Linked DNA regions of Kluyveromyces lactis. The protein of the gene in region 1 binds, or shares a complex with, the protein of each later gene. Links are inferred from orthologs where the notes say so. Each region holds a gene or a part of one and is shown on either strand. Other genes may lie near its edges.

The links.
Region 2: RPS12 (region 1) and RPS20 share a complex: the UniProt entries of both Saccharomyces cerevisiae proteins name them as parts of the small ribosomal subunit. The link is inferred for Kluyveromyces lactis from reciprocal best matches to the Saccharomyces cerevisiae genes RPS12 and RPS20.

Annotation. Positions count from the first base shown.
Region 1 is NC_006042.1:14,054-25,247, reverse strand, and holds RPS12 (40S ribosomal protein eS12), read left to right. Parts: upstream 1-5,797; coding exon 5,798-6,202; downstream 6,203-11,194. Other genes in the region: NDD1 (Ndd1p), read left to right, coding at 508-2,160; GPB1 (Gpb1p), read left to right, coding at 2,737-5,124; RAD17 (Rad17p), read right to left, coding at 6,454-7,566; ubiquitin-protein transferase activating protein PEX22, read left to right, coding at 7,711-8,181; KLLA0_F00286g (uncharacterized protein), read right to left, coding at 9,110-10,729. UniProt on the Saccharomyces cerevisiae protein: Component of the ribosome, a large ribonucleoprotein complex responsible for the synthesis of proteins in the cell.
Region 2 is NC_006042.1:2,366,714-2,378,051, forward strand, and holds RPS20 (40S ribosomal protein uS10), read left to right. Parts: upstream 1-6,006; coding exon 6,007-6,360; downstream 6,361-11,338. Other genes in the region: APM2 (Apm2p), read right to left, coding at 1-244; MCO14 (4a-hydroxytetrahydrobiopterin dehydratase), read left to right, coding at 346-873; NFU1 (Nfu1p), read right to left, coding at 1,024-1,794; KLLA0_F25498g (uncharacterized protein), read left to right, coding at 2,283-3,788; KLLA0_F25520g (URC4/urg3 family protein), read right to left, coding at 4,171-5,442; YLF2 (Ylf2p), read right to left, coding at 7,480-8,709; deubiquitinase OTU2, read right to left, coding at 8,903-9,856. UniProt on the Saccharomyces cerevisiae protein: Component of the ribosome, a large ribonucleoprotein complex responsible for the synthesis of proteins in the cell.

The DNA.
Region 1 (11,194 bases):
GAGGGGAATAGCAAACAACCATCATTTACGCATAAGTGATACAAAAATCATACTTTATATCCTCTGCTAGTTAGCTTATCTTTGGAATTTGTTTACGAAACCGTTGCATTGGAACACTACTACAGATTCACTATTTGATTTAAGACTGTACGTTTATCTATTTCATCAATCGTCATACCCATAGAGTAACAGTACGCGTGTGGTGGGATCCTTATTTCAGGTTTAGTTCAGCACTGTGACTTTCCTTTCTCCTCTCGTTAAAGACAAAAAGAAGCATTCGCTTGGATTCAGATTACACTCTGTATCGTTTTTTGTTTTTCAATTTCAAGATACAGTTTGACTATTGTGTTTATATTTAAACAACTGGACATCTCTCTTTGTTTCATTTGAATTTTTTACATTGCAGCCAACTACGCCTTCATTTCATTTCTCACAACGACATTCGTTTACCGTAACAATAAATCAAGAATATTATTACCAGTGCTACCAGTGTTACCAGATTTCCAGATGAATTCAAGGGACGAGGAAGCCAATTACTTGACAAGTCCTCATATCTACCGGTCAAATGCAGGGCAAGAGCAGCTTGGTACTAAATATGCCTTCAATAGTCCGCAACCAATGCAACACACATTACCAACTCCATACACCCTTAATCAGAACAAACTGGACCATATAAACGCTGTTGAAAGGGATAATTCCGATTTGAATGATTACTCATTGGTTGAAAATAGCATGCTGAATCATCGCAATCACCAGCGTCATCACCAGCACAGCCATCGACCCACCGTTGATCCGAACACTAGCTCCAATGATATCGATGTCAATAGTAGTCAAATATTAACTGATGGTGATAACTCTATCAATGCTGAATTTACTGGTACGACACATAGTTCAACATCACACGACGTTGAAGTGCTTCTGTCATCCTCGAATTCGAGAGCCTCCGCCTCCATTGTTACAGGTTCCAATCAAGGTTCTACCATCCAGACATCAGCAAACTCAACAGAAAGAAATGGGAAGTCATCTATATCTTCATCCTCATCATCATCGTCAGCGGCAGCAACTAGAACAGCAATCACTGGAAATAACATCTCTCAACCAATCTTACCTGATATAAATGAACAACCTTCCTCTGTGTTGCATTTCGGAAATTTTGCAAACGAATTATTGCTTGCGAGTCCTGAACAATTCAAAGAATTTTTGATGGACTCACCAGCAGGTTTAAACTTTTGGCAACAAAGACAAACTCCCGCCAAGACACCTCTTAAATTTGTCACTAATAATACGAATTTAACCCATCAACAAAATAACACAGGATTGATGAATTCCATTCACTCTCCATTGCAAAATATTGATGTAAACCTCATGTTCAATTCTGCTTCCAAGACTTCATTGTCTCCGCCTCGAAAACAGATGTCCTTGACGCCATACGGCAGAAGGATTTTGAATGAAATGGGAACACCGTTTACCAAAATGATGCAACCAATTTCTTCGAACAACAGCGCATTGGTTGACTTTCATCGTGCCCGAAAGCATAACTTACAGTCTACACCTACTTCAAGACCAGCTTTAAGGAATGAAAGCCCTGGATCGAAGCTATATTGCTCATCCCCTACCACCATCCAACTTCATTCGTCAGGTGTCAAATGTTCGCCTGAAAGAGATCCAAACATCGATGAGAAACTATTTCACCTTCGAGCATCACCGACACCTAAACTATCCCTAAATAAAAGTGAGAAGTTCAGACTTGACCCAAGTTTTGAACTACCGAAAATGGGATCCTTCAAAGAAGGGCTCACAATTCCGTCATTAAGAGCACCGGACACTAACAACCAACCAATTAACATTAATAACGCTAATATACATTCCAGTATGGGTACAACACATGACATATCATCTACTTCGGAAAAAGTAAGAAAACCAAAGCTTAACAGAAATGGGAATAAAAACAAATCTAAGACAAATCAATTAATCACAAAACAGAGGTTCCAAATTATAATGACCGATACAACCAGTTTTAATTCGGATGACGGAGTTACTTCGAATAATCAAGCAAAATTAAAGAGATCTCGTTCGGTTATTGTACCTGGAGAAGTTAAGAAAAAGAAGAAAAAGAAGAAAGTCTACGAAACTTCTAATATCATACCTAATTCTCAATAAAAGACAGCATAATCGACAAAAAAAAAAGGGAAATTAAATCAATGTGCTTTCCCCATACTTTCAGCAAGGAACAATGCTTGCACTTTTCCTTATTCATGTTTTATATCTACCTTATCCTTTCGCACGCCTCGCAGCTTTTGACTGAAGGCTTCGTTTTTATATTTTCATATTACTCTTCAATTCTTATGTACATCTCAAAGCATCTATATTAGTTTGTGCCGTTTCGTTTTCTTCCCAATAAAGTTGGTGATAATTCAATAAAAAAAAAAAAAAATTGGTATTCACCATCCAAAATCAGGCTATCTTGTGAACTAACTTACAAGGAGTTCATTGTATGTTGCAAGAACCTGCAATTTATGACTGCTTTGATTACAAAATCCTGCCCAGTAGCCGTGCCTTACGCCCTTCAAAATAAATAATTCCCACTTGAAAAACAAAAGACAAAAAGAAAAACGAACAATAAATATTACAATCCGCCCCCAAATCAATTAAGGAACAGTCGAATAAACTTTAAAATAAAGGGAACCTCAGATAAAGCTATTGCATAGTTTGTCAGCTCCAAATTCATCGTTCAATATGGAAGCTCTTGATCCTCTTAGTCAGGATCCCAGGCCATCTGAGGAACGTGCCATTAAAAACGATCAACCTTACCATTTAAATTATGAATGGAACGACGTCCCATCTACATTCAAAACAATCAATAAGGATGGTCAATACAAACAATTTTCTCCAATTCCTTATATCACTAGTTATATTCCTACATTGAATACGCCTGCTGCTACCGCGGAGCTTATGAAGGAAGAAAGGGAAGTAAATCTACAGAAATTAAGGAATTACTATCATAAGGAAGCATTGGACTCTTTGGCAACACGGAAAGATAGCTATGTCTCTCAAAGTACCAATTCGCCTCAGAGCAGATCTTCAAGACGTAGGACCTCACTATCCCATAGATTCTCATCATGGAACATGGATCGTCTTCCTGAAGAGCAGAAGTCCACAAATTCTTTTAGCATTGACACTACTCAGGAAAATCAGGCCACTGAGGCAGCAAAGGTTTACATTAAGTACCGTCAGAAATTTTCATCGAACTGCGACTCTTTTTCTTCCGGTGAGATATCTGAACGTGAGGAAAATATGTGGGTGCCGATTGCTAGGTGGCAACCAAGCTCTCCGGACATGGAGCCAAAGCTGTACACATCCTATAAAATCAAACTCAACGTTCCTTATTCAGAAACATGTCCAATTACTATTACTAAGCTGTATCCCCCAATTTTTAGTGACACTAGAGTGCCTGCCCTAACATATCATTCCATTGTTAATTTGGATAGCTGTTTGTATATTTTTGGAGGAATGTCACCATCCTATTCTTTCTCCGAAGTTTCCCCGGACTTATCCAGTTTTCACGTAGACGGAATAAAACACCTTCCGCCTCCATTAGACGAAACAATCATTAATAACCCGGCTATGCTTCCAAGTAATAAGTTGTACACATTTTCTTATACGTCAACAAAGTGGACTGAAGTGAATGCCACAGGACAGATCCCTCCCGCTTTAGTTTGTGTCCAGGGCTCTATTTTAACCGACAGGCATATATTCTATTATGGTGGCTTTGAAATAAAACACGAAGTTTCAATTGATCCTAAAACAAACGAATACTACATTAAAAAGCGAGCAATATTGAACGATACTGCATATATATTGGACACTTTGTGCTACAAGTTCACCAAATTACAGCTTGTTGCGCAACCTACAAAATACGTGAAATATCCGAATACAGTCCCCAGATTTGGACATCTACAGGTTTCATTGAAAACACACACCCATAAATCTACCAGAAGTTCAACATCAGGTACTGATTCTCCCCCTTCTTCATTGTCATCCTCAACAGCTGAAAAGAATTCCTCTACTAATACTTTCGAAGACCCTATGATGAATTTTGTATCCTCATCAATGGCATTGAGTTCCGATAATATCATTTCCCCAACCTCATCAAGTTCACCCGGTGTTTACAGCATTTTAATTATGGGTGGTTATAGAGAAGGCGGAGATGGCAAGTTCATACCGATATCCGATTTATGGAAGGTCGAAGTGACCGTCCTATCTCGGGGCAAACGTAACTTTTTGAAGTTTGCTGACACCGCATTAGTGACAATAATATCTAGATTACCACAAAACGCAGTTGATGAAGCATTTCTGAGGGACTATTACAAAAAATGGCCTTTACCTAGAGGTTTTATGGCATCTTATGTCGTAGATACAGACTCTTTGAGTCCGAAATCTATGGACGCAGATCTGTTAGACAGACTAATGCATAATTTCAAAATAGTTGACAATATTAACGATGAACCCGTTGTAAACGAGCCGATGATTCCAGGAAGAACCATGAATTCCAGCACTAGTCCCAAAAGATTAAATAAGTCGCTAATAATACATGGAGGTTCCGCAAATAAGTTTATTCACGGTGATATGTGGTGTTATGATTTAGATGAGGGAACTTGGACAAAACTATCATTGAAAGCCAAGGACAAAGAGACCGGAGAGCTCAAAATAGTTGAATTTCCTCTTACGGGACACACTTTTGTACATAATAAACAGATCACCGTGGTAATTGGAGGATTGAGCCAAAAAGACGTGGATTCTTCTTTATACTGGAAAGACTACAAGTATGACGAAAAACATCAACATCCCATGCATGATACCGATGGAACCTTCACGTTCATCAGTTTACCATCTCGGGTAATTAGAAACTTCGAAGTTGTTAACATCATGAATAGAGCCAGAACAAAATATACGGAAGATATGCCTTTGTCTGCGCTGAGACTATCATGTAATCCCATCGTCTACGATCAAGACTACATATGGACGGTAGGAGGTCTTATAACGGATACGGAAAGCTGTGATGTTTTCCTACGTGGTGCAATATCATTGGTAAACTTACCATTGATTGATATCCCAGGTGTATAATGACGGACTTTTCAACGGAGATATGCTGAAAGTATTTATGACATCCGTACTGTCTGCAAACAGCAGTTCAAATTCGTGAATCGTCAGAGTTGACAGAACGACTACTAGACTATAGCGCTTATTGATATTTAAACTACGAAGCGCGACCCATGCTGTTGTATTCATCACTTCTAATCTTAATGAAAAGACTTGAACAAGATTAAAATACCAGTGACTGTCATATTTGTTTGCACCCGTACATATTCCAAAATCCTCCTCAAATCTGAAGAAAACTAAAGAATTTCCAAATATGGCATCTACACGTCAACATAGTACGCGCCACCACGGACTAGTCTTAAGAAAAATGTTCACGAAAACACCTGGACATTACAGCGAAAGAAAAGGACGCAGTTGTTCTGCCCTCCGCTGTCGTCTGTTGATTCTGAAATATCTTAAGTGTTGAACGTATATAGTGCGCTAAACCTTAAAGTTATTTTTCACGGTGAATGGTGGAAGCTTTATATTTTGAATTCCCATGATTTAAGCTAATATGTTGAAGAGTATTGAATAAAACGTTTCGGATGGTCTTCTTATTAGTTTAGTATGTTTTTAGTTTTATGTTATTCTAAAGTCTTCACGGAGCAGTACCACTGTCGAAGAAGTCAATACTTTAGAAAATTTTATCAAATTAGAAATGTCTGACGTTGAAGAAGTCCAACAAGTCCCAGTCGCTGAATTGACCATCGAAGATGCCCTAAAGGTCGTCTTGAGAACCTCTTTGGTTCACGATGGTTTGGCCAGAGGTTTGAGAGAATCTGCCAAGGCTTTGACCAGAGGTGAAGGTCAACTAGCTGTTTTGGTTGAATCGGTTACTGAAGAAGCCATCAGCAAGTTGGTCCAAGGTTTGGCCACTGAAAACAACGTTCCATTAATCAAGGTTGCTGATGCCAAGCAATTAGGTGAATGGGCCGGTTTGGGTAAGATCGACCGTGACGGTAACGCCAGAAAGGTCGTCGGTGCTTCCGTTGTTGTTGTTAAGAACTGGGGTGCTGACACCCAAGAAAGAGAAATTCTTTTGGAACATTTCAGCCAACAATAAATGAGTGGATTTTGAATCTATGTTCAAATCCAATTTAACGCTTCTGTTTTACTCATTTTTCTCATACTCAACAATAACATAAACAGATTTCTTCATGGGAATATGGACATTGTTTGGTTTGATAAAATGCTCTATTTTATAGTTTGTATATATATTCTAGGGTATCTATATGTTTACAAATAGTTTCCATCTATACCTAAAATGACGTTAATTCCAACCTGATTAATTCAGCTTGTCGAAGCAGGGTTGCGCTAGAAGAATAGCGGCAAATCTTGCGAAGCAGCTTCATACCCGTCACTATTTTCCTCTTCTTTATCGTCATGTGCAGTTTTCTTCGGCGGTTGTTGTGTATTGGGAAGGAAATTATGGCGCGATTCACTTCCCATATATTCAATCATCATTACTTTTATCTCATTTACGTCTGGAAGCTCTGGAAGAGCTTTCTCAAGCATGCATATCTCAATAATTATCCCAGGATAATGACTTGGTAGATTGTTACCTGAAATGGCTCTAGTCCTCTTATACTCCTGGTCATTAGGTCTTAGTATATCCTTCGTTTCATTCAATATATTAACAGTCATCAAACCATGTACATCTCTACGTATCATGATTTTTGAAGCAATCCGAGCACTGGCTCGTATTTTGTCTAGCATTCCATAATCAAAAACACTTATCATTGGATGATCATATAAGAGGGTGGTTGAATCATTTGCGTATATTTCGAACTTCTCTAAAATCGATCTCTCATTAGGTAATATGATCTTAGATAAACCTTGTTGAGATCTTGAAATCAATGCGAATAAGGGCTTTTTGGTGGTTTCGTTATGTATCGCATAAAAATAGCAATCTTTGCATCCAATTTCCTTCAAATCGTGTAAGGCATTGTGTAAGACATCCCCTTTTATTATGCATTCGAATTGCAGTCGCGTTCTATCTAGTACCAACCCAGTGTTGTCTAAGTCTTTGAGCAGATATGTTGAGTATTCGACGCTTTCAGTGATCATGTTATCTTCGAATATTAATATGAATGGGGATCCATCCCCATTATATGTTAAAGTACACTCAATTATATCGTTCCGATCGTTACTGATATTCAAACTATCCAATACATGGTCAAGCCGCAGGGATACCTTGGTCAAAGATGTTTCAGTTATCGGGCTATAGTGAAAGGTTTGAAATAACTCCCGTGAAAGAACCAATTGGATCTTGATTACATGATTGTTTTCTTGGGCAAAGGACAAACCATTTTTATCTATGGTGATGAGCATTTCACCTTTCACTCCAAAAGGTGTTAAACAATTCAAAGCCGTCACAATATGATCCAAATGGACAGTCGTCGCATAAAAAATAGGAGAATCTATCATTGTGGGTTGCCGAAAGATTAAGGGTTCAAGATGTTGACGGTTCTCTGGTTTCTACTTATTTATGTATTGTACATACTGATATATTGTTTATAAAAACAAGTGAAATGGAATCAAAATCATAAATAGAAACCTCATTGCCATTATATGCGAGGAGATAAGGAAACCACCAATTGGCTAAACAAGTCCCTTATGAAGCAAGCCCGGCAAAAGAAGCTTTCGATTATAGCTGTTGGGGTATTATCGACAGTGGCAGTAACTGTAGGTTATTTATTATATCTGTATCGTGGCCAGCGAAACCCGAATATAAGAGACGTAAAACCAAAGTCGAAATGTTACGTTCTTACACAAGACTTGTTCGATAAGATCGAAAATTGGCAAGAAGAACTATCAAAAGACAGCGTAATGTTAGTTTTACCAGAAGTTGCCCACTTAGGAAATCATTTAAAGTTACAGCTATCGTCTATTGAACATAAGATTGTCATCTTTAACAATTCATCGGCCGTTTGGAGTGCAGTTAGGCATTTAAAGAAATACGAGTTGGTAATAAGTCGTGATAAGACTTCTGATATGCCAGTAGATCTCAGGAGGTATGTGGGACAGATTTCGCACATTTGAAATCTGAAATTTACATCAGTTTTAATGTATGCTATTATAATAGTACTATAATGTTTACATCGTAAACTTATCTCTAACAGAACTTCTGGCTGAATGAAATGGTTAGAAATCTACCATATTGAAATTTGCTATTGAACTGCAATGCATACTATGCTTGATGTTCGTGATTGTGTATTCTACAAATAAAGAGTACTCGGCTATAACAACAACATGCAAGCTGAAGGACTTTATTAAACAATCAAGTACTGTAAAAGCAGAAAGCCGACATACGCATTGTATCACCCGAAGAAGGTTACTAGATTTCTCACATCCTTACTCCTGCCTCAACATGCACTGGAATCAATATAAAAAAAAACAGCATTCCTTAACAGAATGGCCTCAATGATATAATATTAGGAACTGTCTTAGAGACAGGATGGTATAGCACAGCATAGGGCCGAAATAAAATGTTATCGCCAATTTCAAAACTGATCTTCATTACCTCTTTATTTTGGCGCTTATATAATTGATCCTAAGGACCAAAGGATAGTGCAGTGAAGTGTAGCAAGACAATGTTCTTTTGAGGAAATAATTGGACTGACAGTTATTAACTGATATTTCAGCAACTTAAAAGAAAGAGTGGCTTGTTAATGCTATTTGATATGCAGGATCAACAAAGCCATAGTAATAGCTTCCACGATAACACAAGAAATTTCTGCTTATGTGTCTTTGGAGCTATTTATGGATTGTGAAAGGCTCTATTCGTACTCGTCCACATAGCGATGCCCCATTTTCAAATATACAATATTTCCATAAAATGACGTTCTAGAAATGTGGATATATGCAGTTGAAAAGAACAGAGCTTTGGGTAAATTTGTAGAAATTGACGAACGATTTACAGAATGATAGTTGCTCCATCCCAAAATTATACACTCCTACTAAAGGTAACTCATAGTGGGTAGATAAATCTTTTGTTTTCAAAATCGGTAAGATCTAGCATGGCTAGATTAACTCTTTCGTTGACTCCTTCTGTGAAAGAAACAATACCAAAGTTGTCTTCTGGATGTTCTTGAACCCATTGATACCTTTCTTTGTTCCTTTTCGCCAAAATGTATCTGATTGTTAACAAAATAACAATATTAAGGAAGAATGAAACCACAATTTGAATAATCCAGGATGGATAGTATCTTGGGGCATCCTTTGGATTCCAGAGTTGAGGAGAAATGATGTTTGCAGCGCCATATGCCAACATAAACATTACGTTCCTGTAGAGTTTCTTGGTATAACCGGCTGCAGATGATGTCGTCCATCCCAAAGCAATAATGTATGTGATACCCTTTGAGGAGCCGGCTAAGATCATACAGGCTAACAACGCATATTTGTTGGACCAATCTATTGTAACCATCGCAATACTGGACGCAATTGGTAGAATCAGACAACCGGCTGCAATATAACCACTTTGATTTGGATAGTTGAGGATAACAAAAGCGAATATCAAGTACAGTAGAATGTCCCAAACACTCCCAGCCGCAGAAACCAATGAAGATCCTAGGTTGTCGACACCGATATCAACATACAATTGGTTCTGTTGGTATGTCAATGAATTTGACAGCATAAGAGTAAAACTTTGGAAAAAGAACAACCATGAAACTGGATCTTTGAATGTTTCATAAATTTGATATTTTTTGATTGTCTTCTGTTCAATTGATGATTCCGTTGACCGTTGCACTTGCTTTATAAGATAGACTTTTTCTTTTGTTGACAGAAACTTTGCGTTAGCAGGGTTATCAGGGTAGAGGAGTAAGACAATTATGGCAAGTATCAACGATAAACCAGCATTGATTGCCATAAATATTCTCCAAGGATAAGTGGATGTATTCGTATGCATCAATCCAAAAGAAATGAACGATGAAAGTAAAGGTGCTGCTGCTGTAGCTGCCCAAAACACTGGTTGAACAATTTCACGTTGCTCCGTAGTAAGGAACATACCAAGGGTAATCTCACAAGCAGGAACCACCACGGCTTCGGTGGCACCTAAAAAAAAACGACAAGCCATTAAACTACCATAATTATTACAGATTCCTGTCAACCCTACAATTATTGCCCAGGAGAAAATACTTCCAGCGAGATATTTTCCCAAGGGCAATTTTTGCATTAATATATGACATGGCCATTGAGCAATAAGGTACCCAGCGTAGAATATAGAATTTAAGTTGTTAAAGTCGCCTTTACTGATTCCTGTGTCTGTATAGATTCCAAGAATGGTAGTATAACCGATTGTTGATTTATCCATGAAAAGGATTAACGTAACAAGAATGGTTAATAGAGATACAGCAGCGAAGTTTTTCTTAACAAACTTTTTCTCTTCCTCCTCAGTAAGTGGTTCCACGGTAGATTCGTATTTGTCCATAAATTTAAGAAGTTCGTCAGCATCTTTGACATCAATTTTTTTTTCCTTTTTATCAATTGAATCTGAGCTAGTCTCAAATTCGGTGTATTTCCCGTTTTGCAATTTATCATCTTTATCGACTACTTCAGCATCTTCGTTTTCTATTTTCAATTCAGACATGGTAGTGTATTTTGCTTGTTTTCTATAGATGATAATTCTTTAAATCTTATATATTACGTATAAGAAAGAACAACCACACAGAATCACATATCATCTGTTAGAGAGGTCCTGACTTTATATTTGTTAAATTGTTGAAACAGCAGTATGGGTTATTGGCCCACATTGCTTGAGAGTCTCTGCAAAGACTCATTGTGTTTATCTATTTCAAAATTAGTAACTCCCGGGGTCTCTCACAAATGAAGTATTACGGTGAAGACAAAATTAAAATTATGAGATTGGTGTTACACTAGTTTAGTACGTGTTTGACTTGCTGGTAGTATTCATGGCCGTTGAGCGGTCTTAAACTTTCATCACTGTGACTTTGTGGAAAGAAAGAATATGTCTCGAAGACATTTTTACAAGGTTTGAAAAAATGCTTTTGATCGGCACCTGTAAGAGGACGCAGAGGTTTCTGTCCGACTACAG
Region 2 (11,338 bases), about 2.4 Mb from region 1:
GTAACACACTTATGGGAGAAACACTATTATTCACTTGCATTATCATAGCGAAATATAGGTTATCACGAGTTATCACAGCGTAATGCCACCCATTGCCTTCGAATATAGGTTTTGTGCATCCCTTATGATGTTTAAGGTTATTCTGTAATTGAAGTATAGCATCATCAAGGAAATGGATCGGTCGTAGTGCTCTTCTTATTAGCGGTTCATACGTCTCATCGAGCAAAAGGAAACATGATGACATTATGACAAGGCTGATTTGACCATCAGTTGATAGTTAACTCGGCACTCTAAATTTACTTCAGGTCTCGGTTAGGTTTGCAGTTACTATATATGCTAGAATAAATGGCTTTGAAGGTGTTTGTTCAAAGCACTTTTGATAAAATGGTGCTTCTTGTGTTTTGTTTCTTCTCAATATTTTTAGTTAATAAAGATTTCTTACATCTTGGAATTCTATCAACTACGCATAGAGAGATGCTGGAAAAGGTAATAAATGCCACTCTTCAAGCACTGAATAGTATAGACATGTACAATAAGATAGTAAAACAGGTACCAGTGCTGTTGCCACCAAAACTTCTGACACAAGAACTCAGAAAATTGCCTAAATGGAGATTAATGGAGAATGAATTGGTTAGAGATTATAAGTTCAGAGATTTTGAAGAGACATGGAGTTTTTTGAACAAAGTTGCCATGAGGTCACACTTATGGGGCCATCATCCTACAATTACTACTACCTACAACAGAGTTCAGTTCAGACTCACTACGCATGATGTATCTGGTATTTCCGATGCTGATATCATGATGGCTTCTCGGATTGAAAAATACATCAAACAAATCGATCCCAAGAAGGGCATCCTAATAGGGGATAAATAGAATGTATTAAATAAATAAATAATAGTGTACTTCTGTTTTGCATAATACCTTGCAAATACATGCTGTCATGATTCATTCCTTGCTTAGTCTTAGTTATGCCTGTACGTTTCTTTCATTGCTAGAAAGAAGTGACATACTGGGCAATTGCAATCATCTCTTACTGCTCTCCAGCTTCTTCTCAAGTTTTTCGAACTCCGCAAGTGCAATCTTCTCCTCAGGATCCAAGATCTGAACCACGTCCTCTACTTCTTCGATGTAATGCTTTAACATAGCTTCAATACCATGCTTCAAGGTATCCTCACTGGACGAACATGACTTACATGCACCTTGTAACTTCAAATAAACTGTCCCTGTCTCCGGATTCCATCCACGGTACTGGATATCACCACCGTCGTCCATAATAGCAGGTCTGATCCTTGTCTGAATCAATTCATCGATCATCTCGCTGATCTCTTGCTCATCTTCATCGTATTCAAATTTAGGAATGTCCACATCGTACCCAACTTCGGAAGACTTTTTCACGTCGAAGAAATCTGGTAAAAACGTGGGCTTCCCACTGGCTAAATGTTGTACCAATAGATCTATCACCGTAGGAGTCACTTGGTTCCAATGAATCAGTTCATCTTTATTTATAGTGACGAAATCATCACCGATCATCATTGCTTCAACACCAGGACATTGCTGGAACACTTTAGATGGGAATGGAGCATGTTTCAAAAGCTCCTCATCAGTGTTCTTGATCTCAACACTCTGTGTGCCTTTCTCCTGTAGCAGCCCCCCATCTGTGGAAACAAATTTCAATGCATTCTCATTAGGCGTTGTAAGTGTCTTGATATGAATAGACCTCTGCCATACGGGATTCAACACCGTTCGATGTACGCTCTTATAAAACTTGGGACCAAAACTAAACCTTCCTAACATCCTCGCAGTTTACAATCCGTTGTCTTGCAACTTCTCATCCTTTCTCTATATATGCACAAACCACTTGTTAATCATCTTAGCATAAGATGAGTGCTTTGTAATACTAGAGGAAATTCCTTTAATTCGAAATCTCTTGAAAATTACGTTTTTTCAGATAATTTATGGATTGAACATTTTAGAGAAATGAGAAAATAAAAGGTCCCTTTTACAAGAAATGACCCACTAGATATCGTAACAGAACAAAATTTAATGGAAGGCAGCAAAATATACTGAGACGGTTTCCGACTGTACAAGAACAAGGTTTTTCTTTCCAATTGTGTGCTATTTATTCTTATCCAGTGGTAGCTTGTGAATTGTGGACCCTACTTTATATCCGAGGCTGTGTGATTCTTAAAGAGACGAAATAAAACTAATTGCCGATCTTTTCTTGAGAGTCTAGGAAAAAGGAGAGAATAAAGGCCTATAATTAGCTTTTGATAGACAATACGATGAATTTCAAATTGAATTGGGTCACTTTGTTTTGTACGGCCCTTTGGTTGCATTTTGCGACGGCCAATAAGGGTACTATCACAGAGAAGCAGAATCAAATCTGCAGTGGTATGTATTCTAAAGAGGATTGGAGTGGTCGTGTAGATCCATATATTTCGTTCGATTTAAAGAAATTGAACAAAGAAGGCATCTCTGTGGTGATCTTTGATTTCCAAGATTACATCCACATTGGGGCTAAGACGAAAGCGGGTGTAGTTAAGTATATCTGTGACGAAGAAGCGATAAAAGAGAATCTATGTCAAGAAAAGAACAAGAACCAGTTTATCATTTCACCTGAAGCGTATGATCCAGATAGTGATACCGAAAAGTCATTAAGTGCCGACATTCATACGTTCTATGTGGGAAATACAGGTCTTGTGAAGGACAAATATGCCATTAAGAAAACTGGTTACTATTGTGTTGGTACTTACGCTAAGGACACTGGGATCTCTTACAAGGCTGAGGTAAATTTCAGGAATAGTTTTGGTAATCTAGCTGCTTCTGAAATTAACAAATTGCCATTGTATGGGTTATTGGCAATCTTTTATGTTGTCGCTATGGCCTTGTACTTATTTGCCTTCTGGAAACACAAGCATGAACTATTGCCCTTGCAAAAATATTTACTGGCTGCATTTGTGTTTTTAACCATTGATACAATCTTCATTTGGGGTTACTATGACTTGAAGAACACTAAGGGTTCGACCGCTGGTACCACTGTTTACATGGTCATTGTTTCAATCTTGAACTCTGCAAAGATCACCATGTCTCTATTCTTACTTCTTGTTATTTGCAAAGGTTACGGTGTGGTTTACCCTAAATTGAACAAGACCACGATGAGACGTGTTCAATTTTTCTCCGTACTTACGTTTGCTATATCTGTCGCTGCCCTTATTCAAAACTATATGACTCCTTCAGATTCGACATCCATGGTCCCATTGTTTTTCTTTATCCCATTAGGCATCTGTTTCATGATTTTCTACTTCTTGATTCTACAATCCCTCGATCAAACTGTCAAATACTTGAAGCAACAAAAGCAAATCGTTAAATTGGGCATGTACAAAAAATTGATAATTATTTTTTATGTCGCCTTATTCGTTATTTTTGGTGGTATAATTCTATCCTCTTTTGTTTTAATCGGTATGAGTAGTATCGAGATGGTCGAACAACATTGGAGAACTAGATTCTTCTTTGTGGATTTCTGGCCATCCTTGGTATATTATGCCGTATTCGTTGCTCTTTCCTTCACATGGAGACCTACATCTACTTCTTATATGTTAGCTGTGTCGCAACAATTGCCAACAGATCCAGAAAATGTTGCAGATTTCGATCTAGACGATTTGCAATCTTTGGAACAAGAATGGAACCAAGAGTACGAACAACCAGCCGGATCTGAACCAAATGAAGCAGACCTAAATTTCTCAGATGATGAAAACGATAAGAAAAAGCCGGTGCAACCATCAGCCTGAAGGAATTATTTTCCCAAGGCTATTTTATCCAAATTTATCAGGGAAACAATGTGCCACCAAAAATAAATTACTTTTCTAGATGATCGTCAGAAGTTGCCACTGAACTGATAATTTATTCTTCATAAGGGCGTTTCTTCTTTATGTTGAATTCATAGTATAAGTGCGTGTGTATAGTCAAGCAGCGTCTAATTATATTCGTAAATAAAAAAATGCAATATGTCAACACATCGATACAAAAATCTACTCCGTTTATTCTTTTCAGTTCTTAACGTCACTTTTAAAAATCAAAATTATGAAACATTTATAAATATAAACTAGAATCATGACATTCAAGATAGGATATGGCAAAGTTGGAGCCAACTGTTCTAATTGCTTGAGCCTTTCAAAAAACTGTGCCATCACTGTGTAAATTGATCGGTGGCCCAGATGTTTTTGATCTAAGTTCTGCGGCAATTTCTCTTCCAGCTTTCCAGGTTCCAGCTTCTATCAACTGTGACAATTGTAAATTAGAACCTAATTTATCGTTTACTAATGGTAACAAGATGTCCAAGAGCCCAATGGTAAGACATCTCCATTCTACAATTACACCATCATCGGGCGTGAATGTTGGGATTGACGGATCATATCCATACTTCTTCGAATTAGTCAATCCAATGTTCAAATATTCTTCTTTCAAAGATAGTACACCCAAATCGTAGAACAACCCCCCGTTTCTGTACTCTGGTAGACCTGTTTGCAAGTCCTTGGAAGATATATTGAACTTGTAGCCAAATTCCTCTAGTGGTCTCAATAATGAATAACATAACCACTGCGTCAATTTATGAAATGACACGATAATTTCATCGTTTTCGGTTTTATACACCCAGCAATCGCCTAAAGGTTCACCGTTCAGAGTTAATCTTCCAGTAGGCCATATAGAGGTATATCCAGTCATTAGAACCTCCCACAACTGTTGCAAATCAATGTTTTCAGAGCCATTTAATTTGTAAAGGTGATCAATTATATTACCAGGCCTGGCATCTTCACCGAATAACTCAGGTCTTTCAGAAAGGGATTTCCCTAAACTTCTGATCAACTGAATTCTACCTTCGTAACCTTGCAAAGAGTTCTTACTACTTATCTGAAACCCTTTATCAAAATCTTGTTGACTGAAGTCTTTCAATCTAGAACCTTGTACTGTCTGAGATTTATCATGCGATAAGGCACCATCTTTGAACATATAGAAAGAGGCCACCGCTAGTCCTTCTGATCTGTTAATCTTAGTTTCTTTCTCAACAAAAGACCATTCTGAACCTGCACCAGCATCGACAATCACACTAAACGTTATCAAATCAATCAACCGTCTGCATACCTCCAAAGGATCGATGTTCTGGGCAGCCCAGGAATTAATGAGAGATCCCATTCTATCAATACCGTTACAGTTTAAATGTTGCCATCTTCCATGAACAGGAATATCGCCTAGGTTCTTGTAATCTCTTTCAATAATATTGACCAAGTAATCTGTCACTTTCGACATTTTACCCAGATCCACTTCAAAATGTGTACTGTCACCATTTTCTGTTTGCAAAGGGGGGCCGTATACTTTCTTACAAGTTTCCCTAACGGATTGAATGGATCTTAAGTACTCCAAGTCTTCGCATTCTGTGTGTGTCATGATAAATAGCCAGTATGTTGGTTTTTGACAGTTTCAACGGGAGATAATATACAATGCCATCAGAATTAGTTTAAGCGAAGTATCAACTGGGATAGAACTATTTCATTCACTAATGAGTGTATTTATATACTTCGTGGATGGTACACATACATTATCCTTAATTCAATCCTAAGTGTATTGGAACGTTAGTTTGCACAAAAAAGGCATTCTTATCTTTTGCAATTGACCTGTTTCGTTATTCTGGCAACGATTGATCCTTAATGTTCAAGAATCTCCGTCGCACCTCCGACGGATATTACCGGGGACTGCTCATTCTTTATACACCCGTACATATATGCCATGGGATTCTACTTTTTTGATATAATCATCCTCTCTTTCCTAAAACAGAATACTATATGAAAATTTCATGATGTTCTATGATGTCGACAAGCTAGTGCTCCGAAGTTGAAATTCTAAGCTCTCCAAGATAGATGAGCATTAGCATGGTATTGTTAAGGTTACTTACAATTAGATATTAAGTCTATTCATGTCATAAGAAACCAATAAAACTAAAAGGTATACACGATGTCTCAAGTTGAAAAGAAATCTGAACAACAACAAGAAGTTGTGATCCACAAGATCAGAATTAACTTGACCTCCACTAAGGTCAAGCAATTGGAAAACGTTTCTGCCAACATCATCAAGAATGCTGAAACTTTCAAGTTGGTCAAGAAGGGTCCAGTCAGATTACCTACTAAGGTCTTGAAGATCTCCACCAGAAAGACCCCTAACGGTGAAGGTTCTAAGACTTGGGATACTTACGAAATGAGAATCCACAAGAGATACATCGACTTGGAAGCTCCAGCTCACATCGTCAAGAGAATCACCCAAATCACCATTGAACCTGGTGTGGATGTCGAAGTCATCATCGCTGCCTAAACGCACCGATAATGATGTATTGTCAATATCAAATTGGCATTCAATGAATAACGGGCAGGAAACTAAAGTGTTGACCAGATTTACTGCACATCCTTTGAGTTTTCTACCGACATACCTTGAATTCAAATTTTTTTATTTTACTTTTATTCGATATCCAGGTCTCAAGAAAGCTCTTGTATCCTCATTCTCTAAGATTATAGTAAGACTCCTATAAAGTATGGTCAATTGTGTTCAATATAGGATGGAACCTTTTTCTGACACTTCAAAAAATGACAACCCACTCTAGGTAGGGTAGTTTATCGTGTACCTCTATTCTACTATCAGTGGTTAAAAAATAATCATATCCTCTACCAACATCTCACTCATATTTGTTTGGTTACTGTCTGGTTTATTGGTTGCTTGAATGAGTAACTTTTTTGTTGTCATGTGTTAGTGCCCTCCATCCTTTGTGTATAATTCGTACATATTTTTTTAATGGAATATGATTTTAATCATGGGACTTCAAAGCAAGGCATTCAAGCTGACAACTCGAAGCAGAGACTTCTGCAAATGGCCTTTCTTCCACATCACTTTGTAACCCTAATTCATGTAAGAATTTCATGAACGCCAGTTTGGATGTGTTTTTTTTTTTCTTTTCGAATTTTTTTTTTTTGAAGTTTTCTTTCAAATGTATAAGAACTCGAACACATTGATGCAACTTGATACTTGACAAAGATCGATTAAAAATACCATTCAGATTAAATGCGGATCGTTTCCATACTCGAAGCATTCGGTAATCGAATTTAAACCACTAAGATCAAGTTACTTAGGTGCTTCAGCAGAAGCATCGTGTACTTCCGCTAGGAAAGACATTGAAGATAGAGGAGAGGGCTTCTCCATAATTAGTTTAATGATGAGAAAATGTCCTTAGTGACAATGCTATAAACCCAGCTCTTCGATCATTAGAAATGAGAAGAGATACCTGTCAAACGCTCTGATAATCACTAGTAATACAATGGAAAACGAAAACAATGCCTTTACTTTATTCTTTATACATGTCGGATCTTTACAAAGCTTATATTCTTGCAGTATGTACGCCTTTGAGTCTATTATCTTGTGTTGCTATGGGTATAGCCTCTATTATTTTTTACCACTAGTAGCTTTGAAGTGGATTATATCACCGTCTTCGACCACATATTGTTTACCGCCTCTTTTGATCTTCCCTTGAGACTTCAATTGCGACTCTTGAAGCGGAGGATCCATTTTTTTGATATCATCGAATTTTATAATGTTAGCACTGATAAATGTCTTTTCTAAATCACTATGGATAGTTCCAGCAGCTTCTGGTGCCAACGTTCCTTTCCTAATGGTCCATTGACGAGCCTCAATTGGTCCACAGGTGTAAAAACTGATCAATTGCAATAACTCTCTCATTTTGATGATAATATTTGGGAGTGCTGTCAGAGGTACTTCCAACTTCTCTTTACCGATGATCTCTTTGCAAAAAGCCTCAAATTCTTGGAGATTGTTGTCCAATTCGTTGTACTTCGTTTCAAGTTCAGCACTAAACAGCATCACTTCGTCTCCAGGCGCATATTCTTGGATCCAATCCTTGATTTTCTTCAAGAATTTGTTTTCTTGCAAAAGATAATCTTTGGGAGCAACGTTAAGTAGAACCAGGGTTGGTTTAGCTGTTAGAAAGTTGTGTTTATTCAGGATTTTAATCTCTTCCTCTGTCCAGTTCTGCTTGAAGTGTGACAATTTTCTTCCCTCGTACATATGGGCCTCTAATTCCTCTAGCAATCTCAGTTCAAGATGCATTTCTAAGAATTCTGGAGAGTTTTTCGGAGATCTGTTTATCTTTTTGTTAATTCTTTCTCTTGCACCTTCCAGCCATTCGAGATCTTTCAGCACCAGTTCATCTTGCACTAATGACAAGTCTCTAACTGGATCCACATTTCCTTCAATATGAGTAATTTCATCATTTTCAAATCCTCGAACCACTTGGTATATTCCGTCTACGTGCCGAATATCATTAAGGAACTTGTTTCCCAAACCTTCCCCACTTGATGCTCCTCTTGTTAATCCAGCAATATCGAAAATGGAAAGTGTAGCTGGAATTTTCTTCTGACTCTCATAGAGTTTATGAAGATGGTCCAATTTAAAGCTGGGTACAATAACCTTGGACTCTTCGGGTTCTATAGTGGCAAAAGGGTAGTTAGCTGGATTACCCAATTTCGACTTGGTTATTGCCTGGAAAAACGTTGATTTACCTACATTGGCCAATCCAACGATGCCTGAAGCTAGATTATTTGAAGGTCGTCCCAGTACGGTATAAAACCGTTTTATAGATTGGTGAATTAGATGCATGTATGTTGGCACAAGGCAATACCTTGCATTGAGGTCAGTTGATTGAAATTTAAGTATTATGAACTATTTCAAGATTTGATTACTCAATGTATCTTATATTGACAGAATCTGAAAAAAAAAAACAAATGATGGGATGAGATGTGAAATCGAACTTCTACAATAAGACAATACGAACCAACTATTGATAGTAAAACTACAGATCATGCAACGAGTTATAATGCTCTCCGAGCGTATACGAATGTTTGTAGTATACGATCTTGAGTTCGGGATTCTTCGCGTCTTCATTTATCCTGTAAGTGGATCTTCCTGACATCAAAATGCTAATGGTACTGTTAAAAACTTTTGATAGTGCCAAAATTTCTACTTCTCCACCCCATTGGGCTGTAGTTTCCATAGTTTTTGTATACTCATCAAGATCCTTTACGGTCATTGTATTTTCATCGAAAAGATATGGGATGAAATCGTCACGGTTCTCCCTAATGAATGATGATGAAAGCGATCTCAACGAATAGACGTCCATTTCAGACACGTACTTGGTACCTGTATATTCCTCTGGAAAGTTATAATCATACTCAATGTCATTATTAGTCTGATGGCGGAGCCTCAGTTGATCTAGAATACTATTAAACAAACAGTGTCCATCCGGCTGGATATCGAATTGTTTCAAATTTAGCACTACACAAACTTTATCCAAAGAGTTTTGCTCAATATCTTTCAAGTTCGGCTGCTCGGCTGCCTCTTCCATTGCCTGTTGTTTAATTCTTGCAACCTCTGCATCCCTTTTTGCCAATCGCTCCTTTTGTCTATTCCTACGTTTCTTTCCCTGTAACTCTGGTTCTCGCTGTTGCAACTCATCGGTTTTACAAACAGATTGCACAGGATCTTGATCTAAGGACAATTGAGCTAATAATTGAGCTGGTGTGATTTCTTCCGAATCAGAATGCTCAAAAGCAACACCGTTCAACTTTGCGAGCTCTGATTTATGTCGAGTATCAAGTTCCTGTTCTAAGTCTGTACATTTGGCATTTACTTGCTTCCTCGTCTTCTTTGATGCTTGCTTCTTCAAAGAAGTAATCTGATTGGTCAAATCTTTACGTTCCTTGCGATGACGCGCAAGCAGCTCCTCTTGTGCAGTTTCAGTAGACATTCACTTATTCTTGAGAGATTGCTTCAGAGAGGAGTTCCTTTATATAACAATAAAAATTGTTAGTATGCTGAAGATGAGATGAGCCTATTCATCTCACTTCTTCATTTTCAGGTTTTTTTGGTTTTCAGTTTCGCAGACCAGAAAGAGAGATGACGGCAGGATTAGCTACGAATAAAAAAAAAATCAAAAAATAGCGCCGCTCGGTTTCGATCCGAGGACATCAGGGTTATGAGCCCTGCGCGCTTCCACTGCGCCACGGCGCTGTCAAAGATGAAGTTTTAGTTTTTCCAACGACCAGATCACATCTGCGACAACTCCAGGCAGCTCCGGAATCATTTTCTTCGTCCCGTGCCCCCGCTGTTGAAATGACTTACCCCACATAAAGTTTCAAAAAAAATGAAAAATCCGGGAGCGTGTTAGGGAATTAACGACAGACCCTGAAGGAAAGTGAGTAAACGCTTCAAAGAGCGGCTTGAACATGTTATATTCCGGTCTACCCCGGAGAAAGATGTTTCACGCGCTGAACAGGAGAAGGTCATTGTATATATTCCTACTTTTTTCTGTTGCCTCTCTACTTTCTGGTGCTATTTGTAAGAGTTTTTTTTGTTTTTCATCTTTCCGCCGGATTGGTTAATTTCCCCGGAGATTCCATTTCTCCGGCCTTGAAACTGCCGTACAAACCATTGGCTCCTTTCGAAAATGGTGGAATCCACTTCCCGAAAATGACCGAGCTGACAAGAAACTGCCCAACTGAAGCTCGAGGGATTCGAACCGTTTAAGCTTCACTGACGTCCGACTATCTACTTTGACAAAAAAAATAAGGACCTTCTTCCATACTCTTATTTGACACCAAACACTTACGTAGTTATGGTTCGCTACAGTTAACACAGGAACATACAATTATAGCAGAGATCGTAATATTTGGAAAGTAGAAAAATGAACTTGTCATTGTTCTGCGCTGGCAGTTCCGATTACCTTGGGTAATTGTGCCAGTTTAGTTCTGTTCATCTTTACATGAAGCCTTTCTAGATGCCTTCGTATCCTGTCTTCTTCTCTGTGTATATTCTGAGTATATTATCGTAACCGTATGCGACAAAACGTAATTGAACTGGCAACTGACTGTAGATCAGTAGTGGGAAACGCAATGTACTGCCGGTGCTCTGATTAATTCCCCTCAGTTACTCTGTGTCGCCTAAGAAAATGTCCTTAAGCTTTTTCCTTTCTTTCATAATCTCCTATATAGTCCGGGAATCATATAGAGAAACAGGAAAAAAAAAACGAAGAAACATCGATGCAGTCCCACATAAAAGTCCAATTTTGGGCCAAAAAAAAAGTATGAACAGTGGAAAACAGCACAATCATTGGAATTAATACGATCCCAATTCAGGAATTAAAGAAGGATTTGCTTTGTTTCTGTGAAATCAGGTATTCTCCGTGATTTGGCCCTTTTCCAATTACTTCCTGCTCCTTCTCTCTTCGCTA